Linked DNA regions of Xenopus tropicalis. The protein of the gene in region 1 purifies or fractionates together with the protein of each later gene. This does not show direct contact. Links are inferred from orthologs where the notes say so. Each region holds a gene or a part of one and is shown on either strand. Other genes may lie near its edges. The genes, in order: cox6b1 and chchd4.

Region 1 (4,446 bases):
ATTTACCCTAAGCTTACACAATTACATTCCCTGATTTGGCCCATTATGTGATTGGCTAGTGCAAAATAAGGTTGAAGTTCAGCAAAGCAGGTTTCCACAATTCCTCGTTTCACTATACAGAGCACAGGACTTTGTTATTCCATTCAGACATATCCTTTTAGATATAACGAAAACTGATCGACAAAACTATTGTAACCCTAGACATATTTGATAGCACTGAAATGAAATCAAGAACTTCCAATAGCCATGAATGAGCTCCTCCCATATCCGAGGGACGCCTTGTACAACTACATCTTTCATACTCTTACAGATTTAGATTCTACAACTTTGAGACTCAAATAAATGTACCAGTAGTCGCCTGCCCTCAGCCTGCCTCCTCCCAATCCCACAATCCCCTGCTGCACACGTGATGTCAATAAGGAAAGGTACATCACAGTGCCTCCTCCCAATCCCACAATCCCCTGCTGCACACGTGATGTCAATAAGGAAAGGTACATCACAGTGCCTCATCCCAATCCCACAATCCCCTGCTGCACACGTGTTGTCAATAAGGAAAGGTACATCACAGTGCCTCCTCCCAATCCCACAATCCCCTGCTGCACACGTGTTGTCAATAAGGAAAGGTACATCACAGTGCCTCATCCCAATCCCACAATCCCCTGCTGCACACATGTTGTCAATAAGGAAAGGTACATCCCAGTGCCTCATCCCAATCCCACAATCCCCTGCTGCACACGTGATGTCAATAAGGAAAGGTACATCCCAGTGCCTCATCCCAATCCCACAATCCCCTGCTGCACACGTGATGTCAATAAGGAAAGGTACATCACAGTGCCTCATCCCAATCCCACAATCCCCTGCTGCACACGTGATGTCAATAAGGAAAGGTACATCACAGTGCCTCATCCCAATCCCACAATCCCCTGCTGCACATGTTGTCAATAAGGAAAGGTACATCACAGTACAATGCATTGTGGGTTATGTAGTTCCTGTAAAATATGGAGAAGTTGTTACAACTTTCAACATCAGTGTTTTAGTCCCTCCTCCCCTGCCAGGATTTCAAATGATGCAGAAAGAGAAGAACTGTTTTGCAGCTGGATTTCATTTAATAAAAATGCCTTTTATTCATAGTTTTTCAAAGAACAGATTACAGTGCTATGGGGTGTCTGTGTTGTGTGAAACTCTGTAACAAGTTTGGGTACAGAAGCCGCAGTTCCCCTATGAAATGGAGATAACTAGTCAACAGCTTCCGCCCCAAGGCTACGTGCCCGCTTCTCTCACACACAATGGCGCCAACAGCCGACGGTTCAACCAATAAGAGCCTGAGCTCAAACCAACCCTTAGTTAGCCCCGCCAGTCTGGCTTCCCATTCGCTACTGCGCTTGACTCCTTAGCCCCGCCCATACGTGACCTCATCACGCTGGACGCGCAGGTACTTACTGCCCTTCCTGCTGGTGCCCTTAGTGTATGCCTGTGACGTACATCCGGCCTCATAGCCGCATTTCCGTAGCTGGGTAGAAGTGACATTGAGGAAGACGAACTCGAGGTGAGAGTGTGGCGGCCCCGGGCTCCGGGCTGGGGAGGCCGAGAGGGAAAGGGCAGTGGTGGGAGTAACATAGGACGGGATAAGTGTCGGTGTGAGGGGGCTGGGCTGGGGCGCAGCTTGTCTGAACGGATAAACGAGGTGCTTGGAAGGCGCGGTGATCCTGGGAGAAACCATTCCTTGGTGGGGGGGGGGCGATATGGTATATATATCCCACAACCTTCCTGCTAGGCTTCCCTTGCTGTCCAATTAGGTTACTGGTAGGGGCCCTCGGCCTAGTTATCGCCCATTGGTATTACAGGGGCTGCTGGGTACTGTAGTGAGGGTTGGCCCTACGTGCTGTCACTGTGCTACACCCACACTGCAGCCTTCTTGCATTCCAATTAAAGGGCAACACACCCTGCAACTCTAAGATATATTAATGCATTCGCAATGGAAAGCAGTATCTGGCTTTTTATACTCTCTGCACTGCTGGTTCTGACTCCCAGCTTCTGCTGATGATGAGACCTGTAACTGATGTCTGCTACATTGTTTCAGGAGTCAGAACCAGAGAACAGAAATGGGGTGGAAAAAAAAAATACTGACTAATGCCCAAGTTTAATATGTGTAATGCCCGGCAGCTGTGCCTCTTACATGGGACCCTCGGCCTCTGGGTAATTCTTCCGAGGGTTTGACTGGTTATTCCTTTGAAAAAAGTAGCAGGGTCAAAGTTTATATGGTGGTGTGGGTGGAATTGCCTATAAAGGTGGCAGTTGGTTCAGGTGACAGGTAGGTAGGTGCACGTTACTTGTGGCTATAGAACCAAAAGGGGGAATTAAATAAAGTTCAAATGGGAATTGTCTTCTAGAAAAGTTAGTTGTAAGTCAGACTTCCCCTTTATTGCCCTTACTGATAATCCCACTATGGGAAATGACAGTGGGTGTTTGTCACCTTGTAACTAGGTGACCTGTATGACCAGGCGTGAAACATACGTGTGCAGTTCATCCCCGTGTCTGGGTTTATAAGGGTTTGTTAAACTGTCACCTTTCCCACAGAAGCTTCTCGTCTTTTGTCGACTGGGAGGAAATTTATTCTGCAGTTTATTAGAACGGAGCCGCCCTGAGAAGTTTCGTCTGATTTAATAGACTGGGGAGGGAATTTGGGCTTCAAGGCTCTATCATTTATACCAAGTAGGGCTTTTTTACTTATGGTCCTTCCGCTGTTGTTCAACTGCAACTTGTAGACTTGTCTGATACTAATATAGCTCTTATCCCACTGCCAGACATCCTTCCCATAGGCTATAGGCACCATCTCTCCCTACTATACCTGCTATCCCACAGCCCCAGTCCCTTCCCAGAGGCTATTATCCCCCACTGCTACTATAGGCACCATCTCTCCCTACTATACCTGCTATCCCACAGCCCCAGTCCCTTCCCAGAGGCTATTATCCCCCACTGCTACTATAGGCACCATCTCTCCCTACTATACCTGCTATCCCACAGCCCCAGTCCCTTCCCAGAGGCTATTATCCCCCCACTGCTACTATAGGCACCATCTCTCCCTACTATACCTGCTATCCCACAGCCCCAGTCCCTTCCCAGAGGCTATTATCCCCCCACTGCTACTATAGGCACCATCTCTCCCTACTATACCTGCTATCCCACAGCCCCAGTCCCTTCCCAGAGGCTATTATCCCCCACTGCTACTATAGGCACCATCTCTCCCTACTATACCTGCTATCCCACAGCCCCAGTCCCTTCCCAGAGGCTATTATCCCCCCATTGCTACTATAGGCACCATCTCTCCCTACTATACCTGCTATCCCACAGCCCCAGTCCCTTCCCAGAGGCTATTATCCCCCCACTGCTACTATAGGCACCATCTCTCCCTACTATACCTGCTATCCCACAGCCCCAGTCCCTTCCCAGAGGCTATTATCCCCCCGCTGCTACTATAGGCACCATCTCTCCCTACTATACCTGCTATCCCACAGCCCCAGTCCCTTCCCAGAGGTTATTATCCCCCCACTGCTACTATAGGCACCATCTCTCCCTACTATACCTGCTGTCCCACAGCCACAGTCCCTTCCCAGAGGCTATTATCCCCCCACTGCTACTATAGGCACCATCTCTCCCTACTATACCTGCTATCCCACAGCCCCAGTCCCTTCCCAGAGGCTATTATCCCCCCACTGCTACTATAGGCACCATCTCTCCCTACTATACCTGCTATCCCACAGCCCCAGTCCCTTCTCAGAGGCTATTATCCCCCCACTGCTACTATAGGCATCATCTCTCCCTACTATACCTGCTATCCCACAGCCCCAGTCCCTTCTCAGAGGCTATTATCCCCCCACTGCTACTATAGGCACCGTCTCTCCCTACTATACCTGCTATCCCACAGCCCCAGTCCCTTTCCAGAGGCTATTATCCCCCCACTGCTACTATAGGCACCATCTCTCCCTACTATACCTGCTATCCCACAGCCCCAGTCCCTTCCAGAGGCTATTATCCCCCCACTGCTACTATAGGCATCATCTCTCCCTACTATACCTGCTATCCCACAGCCCCAGTCCCTTCCAGAGGCTATTATCCCCCCACTGCTACTATAGGCATCATCTCTCCCTACTATACCTGCTATCCCACAGCCCCAGTCCCTTCTCAGAGGCTATTATCCCCCCACTGCTACTATAGGCACCATCTGTCCCTACTATACCTGCTATCCCACAGCCCCAAGCCCTTCTCAGAGGCTATTATCCCCCCACTGCTACTATAGGCACCATCTGTCCCTACTATACCTGCTATCCCACAGCCCCAGTCCCTTCCCAGAGGCTATTATCCCCCCACTGCTACTATAGGCACCATCTCTCCCTACTATACCTGCTATCCCACAGCCCCAGTCCCCTTCCCAGAGGCTATTATCCC
Region 2 (4,457 bases), on another chromosome or scaffold:
GCTGCATTTATATTCAAATATGTTTCAGCATAGTACACAAGCTCGGCGTAACCAAACATTAACTTTGTAAAGAAATTGCTCAGACATAGTAGTATACGTGCTTTAATCAACAATACATGCCATGCAGCACATTTTGTGCTCTCAGTTCATAATTGGTCAGTACAGGTGATTTGAAGTACAAGCCCAATTAATAGTGACTATCAATGGCATCTTACAGCAGCCCTTTGGCATTGGCCAGAATGGACAAATTGCCAGTCCAGGACACAAAATGTGTCATATTCAGAGCTGTCAAACCCGGGAGATTGTTTCCCAGGGGCAGAGACAAACTCAATTGACCACCAATGAATTAAAAAACTTAAGGTAAATTCCACTGCCCCCAATGAGCTGACTGACTTATTAGCACATTAATTATTCATTTTAACTATTAATATGCCCTGCTTATTATAGAGGGACATCAGCTGTTTATGTTGGAAGCTATTTTACTGAATTATATAGTATCTCCTACATGAACTTTGCAGCGGGGGAACTTGTTCCTTACCCTGCAAGAAAAGCCATTTTTTTTAGTGTAGACTAGAGTCTGCTTAATAAAGTACGTTAGGGGCGCAAGCACTATGAAGTGCTGGACATTAACAAACTTTTTTTAAACTCTTTATTTAAGTTTTCAAGATTGCATCAAAATCTAGCATTAGTACAATACCAATACTGAGCTTTACTTATAATGTTTACAAGATTTTTTTTTTTTCAACATCATGAACCAGGGGGAAAGGGAAAGGGAAAAAGGGAAACGTAAATAAATGTTATTAATAATAATAATAATAATAATAAATAAAAGGATAATGTGATGAGAACAATGTGCAATAGGCTAGGAGTCTTAATTGGCATTAACACAATTTTTTAGCCCTACAGTTATTACTGCATTTGTTTCACACTATAAAACATATGGTGGCACCTTGGGGTTACTATTACAGTAATGTTACAGGATGTATATGGAAATGAAAGTCACTTACATGTCCCTTCATCCTGGCTGCCTTAGGATGATAAACTTTTCCGCAGACGCTCTCTACTTTATCTCCTACCAGAACTTCTTGCTACAAAGTTGCCTCCCTGACACGTCAGTACATTCTGCGCATGCGTAGCTGGCCTTCCGCGCAGTGTCACGGGAAATGTAGTTTTTAACGCCTCCCTGGTTCTATTCAGTGGCGCTTATTGTCAGTAATATCCTATGAGCTATACTACGCATGGAGACTAGGGTGGAATTGGTGAGGGTGGAGGTTATGAATTACTGTCAGGCAGCTAGGAGGGCAGGCCTATGTGCGGGGTCCTCTGTGTGAGTCGCGCAGTGTGACGTGATTGGTGTGCGCAGGCGGTGCTGTGCCGGGCGCCGTGTTGTGGAGCTGCAGCCATGTCCTACTGCAGGCAGGAAGGTGAGTGGGAATGTGCCCGGGGTACGGGGTGGGAGCCGAGCTGCCTGTGTCACAGGGGGACTGGGCCAGAGAAGAGCTGCAATGGGGGCAGCCTGGCAGTAAGGAGAACTGGAGGGGAGAGAGGCCGCACAAAGTGACAGAGGGCACAGGGACACAGGGGCTGGGCATGGAACCGAACCCTGAGGGTTATACAAGGGAAAACCTGGCCTCGGAGTTCCTTAAAGGGACAGTATCCCCTGCTAAGGCTCTCTGCTGCCTGCAATGAGTTCGCTATTTGCAAGGTCATTGGGAACTTATGTCTGTTTGAGCCTCTTAGTGGGGATCTAAACCCAAGGAAATGGATTACTGGAAACTTACCCAGGGTCCTCCTCTGAACTCTTTAGCATTTAACAGTCATTTTCTCTACGTCTGGGCTCATTAGATCAATGTCAGCAACCCAGGGGGCAGTTTAACTATGAAGGCATGGCATAGGCATACATTAGCTTTCTATTTGGATATAGATCCCTTTTAATTGTATAAAGCATGTGTTATTTATTGCAGAATTCTGCTTCTAAAATCAGGGCAAAGGGTTTATGTCTATGTATGTATGTATAACTTTATTTATAAAGCGCCACAAGGGTATGCAGCGCTGTACAATCTTACAATATACAGAATTACACACAGGGAGGACAAGTGATATAATAAATAAATACAATAAATATATATAAATGCACAGGGAATAAGTGCCATGTGGTATGAGACACAGTAGGAAGGAGGTCCCTGCTCCGTAGAGCTTACAATCTAACATACAGGCACAAACTGGAAGGTTAGAGTGCACCAGGTATGGGCATTGTAATATTCAATGTAAAAGTGTGATTGCTATTCTATGTATTTGTACAATATATATATTTATATCAAACCAATTATTGCTGAAATGTCAAATAATAGACTGCAGTTGTGTTATACTGATTGGTCTGTGTTCATTTTTGAAGGCAATTAAACTTTTTTATATGGTATTTACTGTAACCCTGCATTTATTTCATTAGTACAATGGCAAGAATACCATTGCTAGATATTTTAGCACATAAACACTTGCCTTCCTGCAGCAACTTACAAAGCAACTTTAATTTCCTAATACCAAACAATGTGCAGATATCATAGCATAGTAACTATTTTAATTTACAGTTCCCAAATAGAATGGATTGTTGTGATTCTAAAGCCTAATTGTTTCTCATGTACGTTTCAGGAAAGGACAAAATCATTTTTGTAACCAAGGAGGACCATGAAACTCCCAGTAGCGCCGAGCTGATCGCAGATGATCCAAATGACCCTTATGAGGACCATGGTCAGTAAGAGCCAGAGTGTGAGCTGTGTAATAATGCTTGAGCTATAGATAGTAGTGTGTTGCCTGCACTTTACATCAGCTGAGTCTTTGTTCTACAACAACTGCAAGGTCATAGGTGCAAAAGATAATTTTAGAAGCTTTAAGACTTTTCACATAAATCGCCATCATTTCTGATGGGAGCTACATCATGAGTGCAACAGTGGTATAAAAAAAATATTGTCTTATGGAAATCAGTTTGTATTAGATTTCCATGTCATTCTTTAGAGATGAATGGGCGTTTAATTCTTTTATTGTTTTTTATGGGCTATCGGTCATGCTTACGCTGCTCATACTTATGCTGTGCTGGCTCCAACACTCTTGGGGTCTACTTCATGCCTACAGATCAACATATTAAAGGCAAAGTCACACTGTAGTTATCAATGTTAAACAACGAGTGATTTACTGGCATACTTAAAAAAGTATTATGTCTTAATCACTTGTATATTGAAGCACTGCAGTGGCTTCAGGTTGTTATTGCCTATTTTTGTCAGAGTATGAAGTTTAAAGTAATGTGGTGGGGTGCTAGCTCCCTCAGCTGGCCGGAGAGTGAACTGCAGCATCTTAAGAGCAAACAGCAGGCAAATAACATACTGCAAATAATCAATGCTGGTCTTTAAGGGGAGGTATCACAAGAAAAATAAGGAACTTGATGGATATAATCAATTAAAATAATGTACTGTATCTGAAAAGTTACTGTTCACTCTCCCCCTCAGCAATCTGTCTTTATTCAGACAAGGGTCAGTCACATTTTGGTCGATAGGTCAAATATTTCCCTTTGCCTTGACAGTGTATAAAGCTAACTTTCCTTCAAAATAACCAACTCGGACACAAAGCTGCATGTAGAGACAGATTGCTAAAAGGAGGTTAGTGAAGAGTAACTTGATTATTTCAGAGAGGTACATGATTTTACTTGATCATATTCACAAAGTTATTGTTATTGCTTCACATGATTCATCAATATAGTCTCAAAGAAGGAAAAAAAAGGTTATGTTTTAATTAATACTTATAAAACTACCAATTACCTTAGAATTCTATTGTTGTCTCCATTTTAAACCATGAATGTTAAACTAGCCCTTCACTTGCTGATTTTTTTTAATGCTATTTTCACTAATAGGGATTGTTGGCCAATCATGTTTTGTCTTTTAGGCAATGAATACTATTGTACATGATATTGAATTCTGATTCTCCAGTATAATTGCTTTGGGGGCTGACACCCACAGATCTACTGCCATTTTTTTCTAAAGCATTCATTTGGTTGTTTTTGTTTTCCCCCAACCTTTATAAAGTCCATAACAATACAGCACTCAAGCTCAGTGTATTCTTTTATTATTTGCTGCCTCTTGTTTCTATTCAGTATCTGGATGTGGTTCTCATACAGGTGGCCGATGGTTCCAAACAGTTAAATGTGGAAAGGCTGTGGATCCAAACTAGATTAACTGAGCATGCAGTGTCAGCGAATAACTCTAAGCACGCTCCAGTTTTCGGAAGCCAACGCTGTCCGATTATCTTTGCATGCTTATCTGTGATGGAGGAGGTTCAGAGACTCGGAATATGTTTCATTCTGTTGTAGAATTAAATGTGAATCCAGGGTAACCATTCTGTTAGAAGCTTTATGCAAAGGGGCTGCAGGGGAAACTACATAAAAACACATTAATAGATGTAAAGGTGCA

What was found.
Region 2: the proteins of cox6b1 (region 1) and chchd4 purify together in Homo sapiens (co-immunoprecipitation; 3 studies listed by BioGRID and IntAct, with this or other methods). This does not show direct contact. The link is inferred for Xenopus tropicalis from reciprocal best matches to the Homo sapiens genes COX6B1 and CHCHD4.

Annotation. Positions count from the first base shown.
Region 1 is NC_030683.2:124,521,368-124,525,813, forward strand, and holds the start of cox6b1 (cytochrome c oxidase subunit 6B1), read left to right. Parts: upstream 1-1,489; 5' UTR 1,490-1,546; intron 1,547-2,577; exon of another isoform or gene 2,578-2,712; intron 2,713-4,446. UniProt on the Homo sapiens protein: Component of the cytochrome c oxidase, the last enzyme in the mitochondrial electron transport chain which drives oxidative phosphorylation.
Region 2 is NC_030680.2:132,948,714-132,953,170, forward strand, and holds the start of chchd4 (mitochondrial intermembrane space import and assembly protein 40), read left to right. Parts: upstream 1-1,345; 5' UTR 1,346-1,402; coding exon 1,403-1,424; intron 1,425-2,649; coding exon 2,650-2,748; intron 2,749-4,457. Other genes in the region: tmem43 (transmembrane protein 43), read right to left, coding at 1,008-1,019.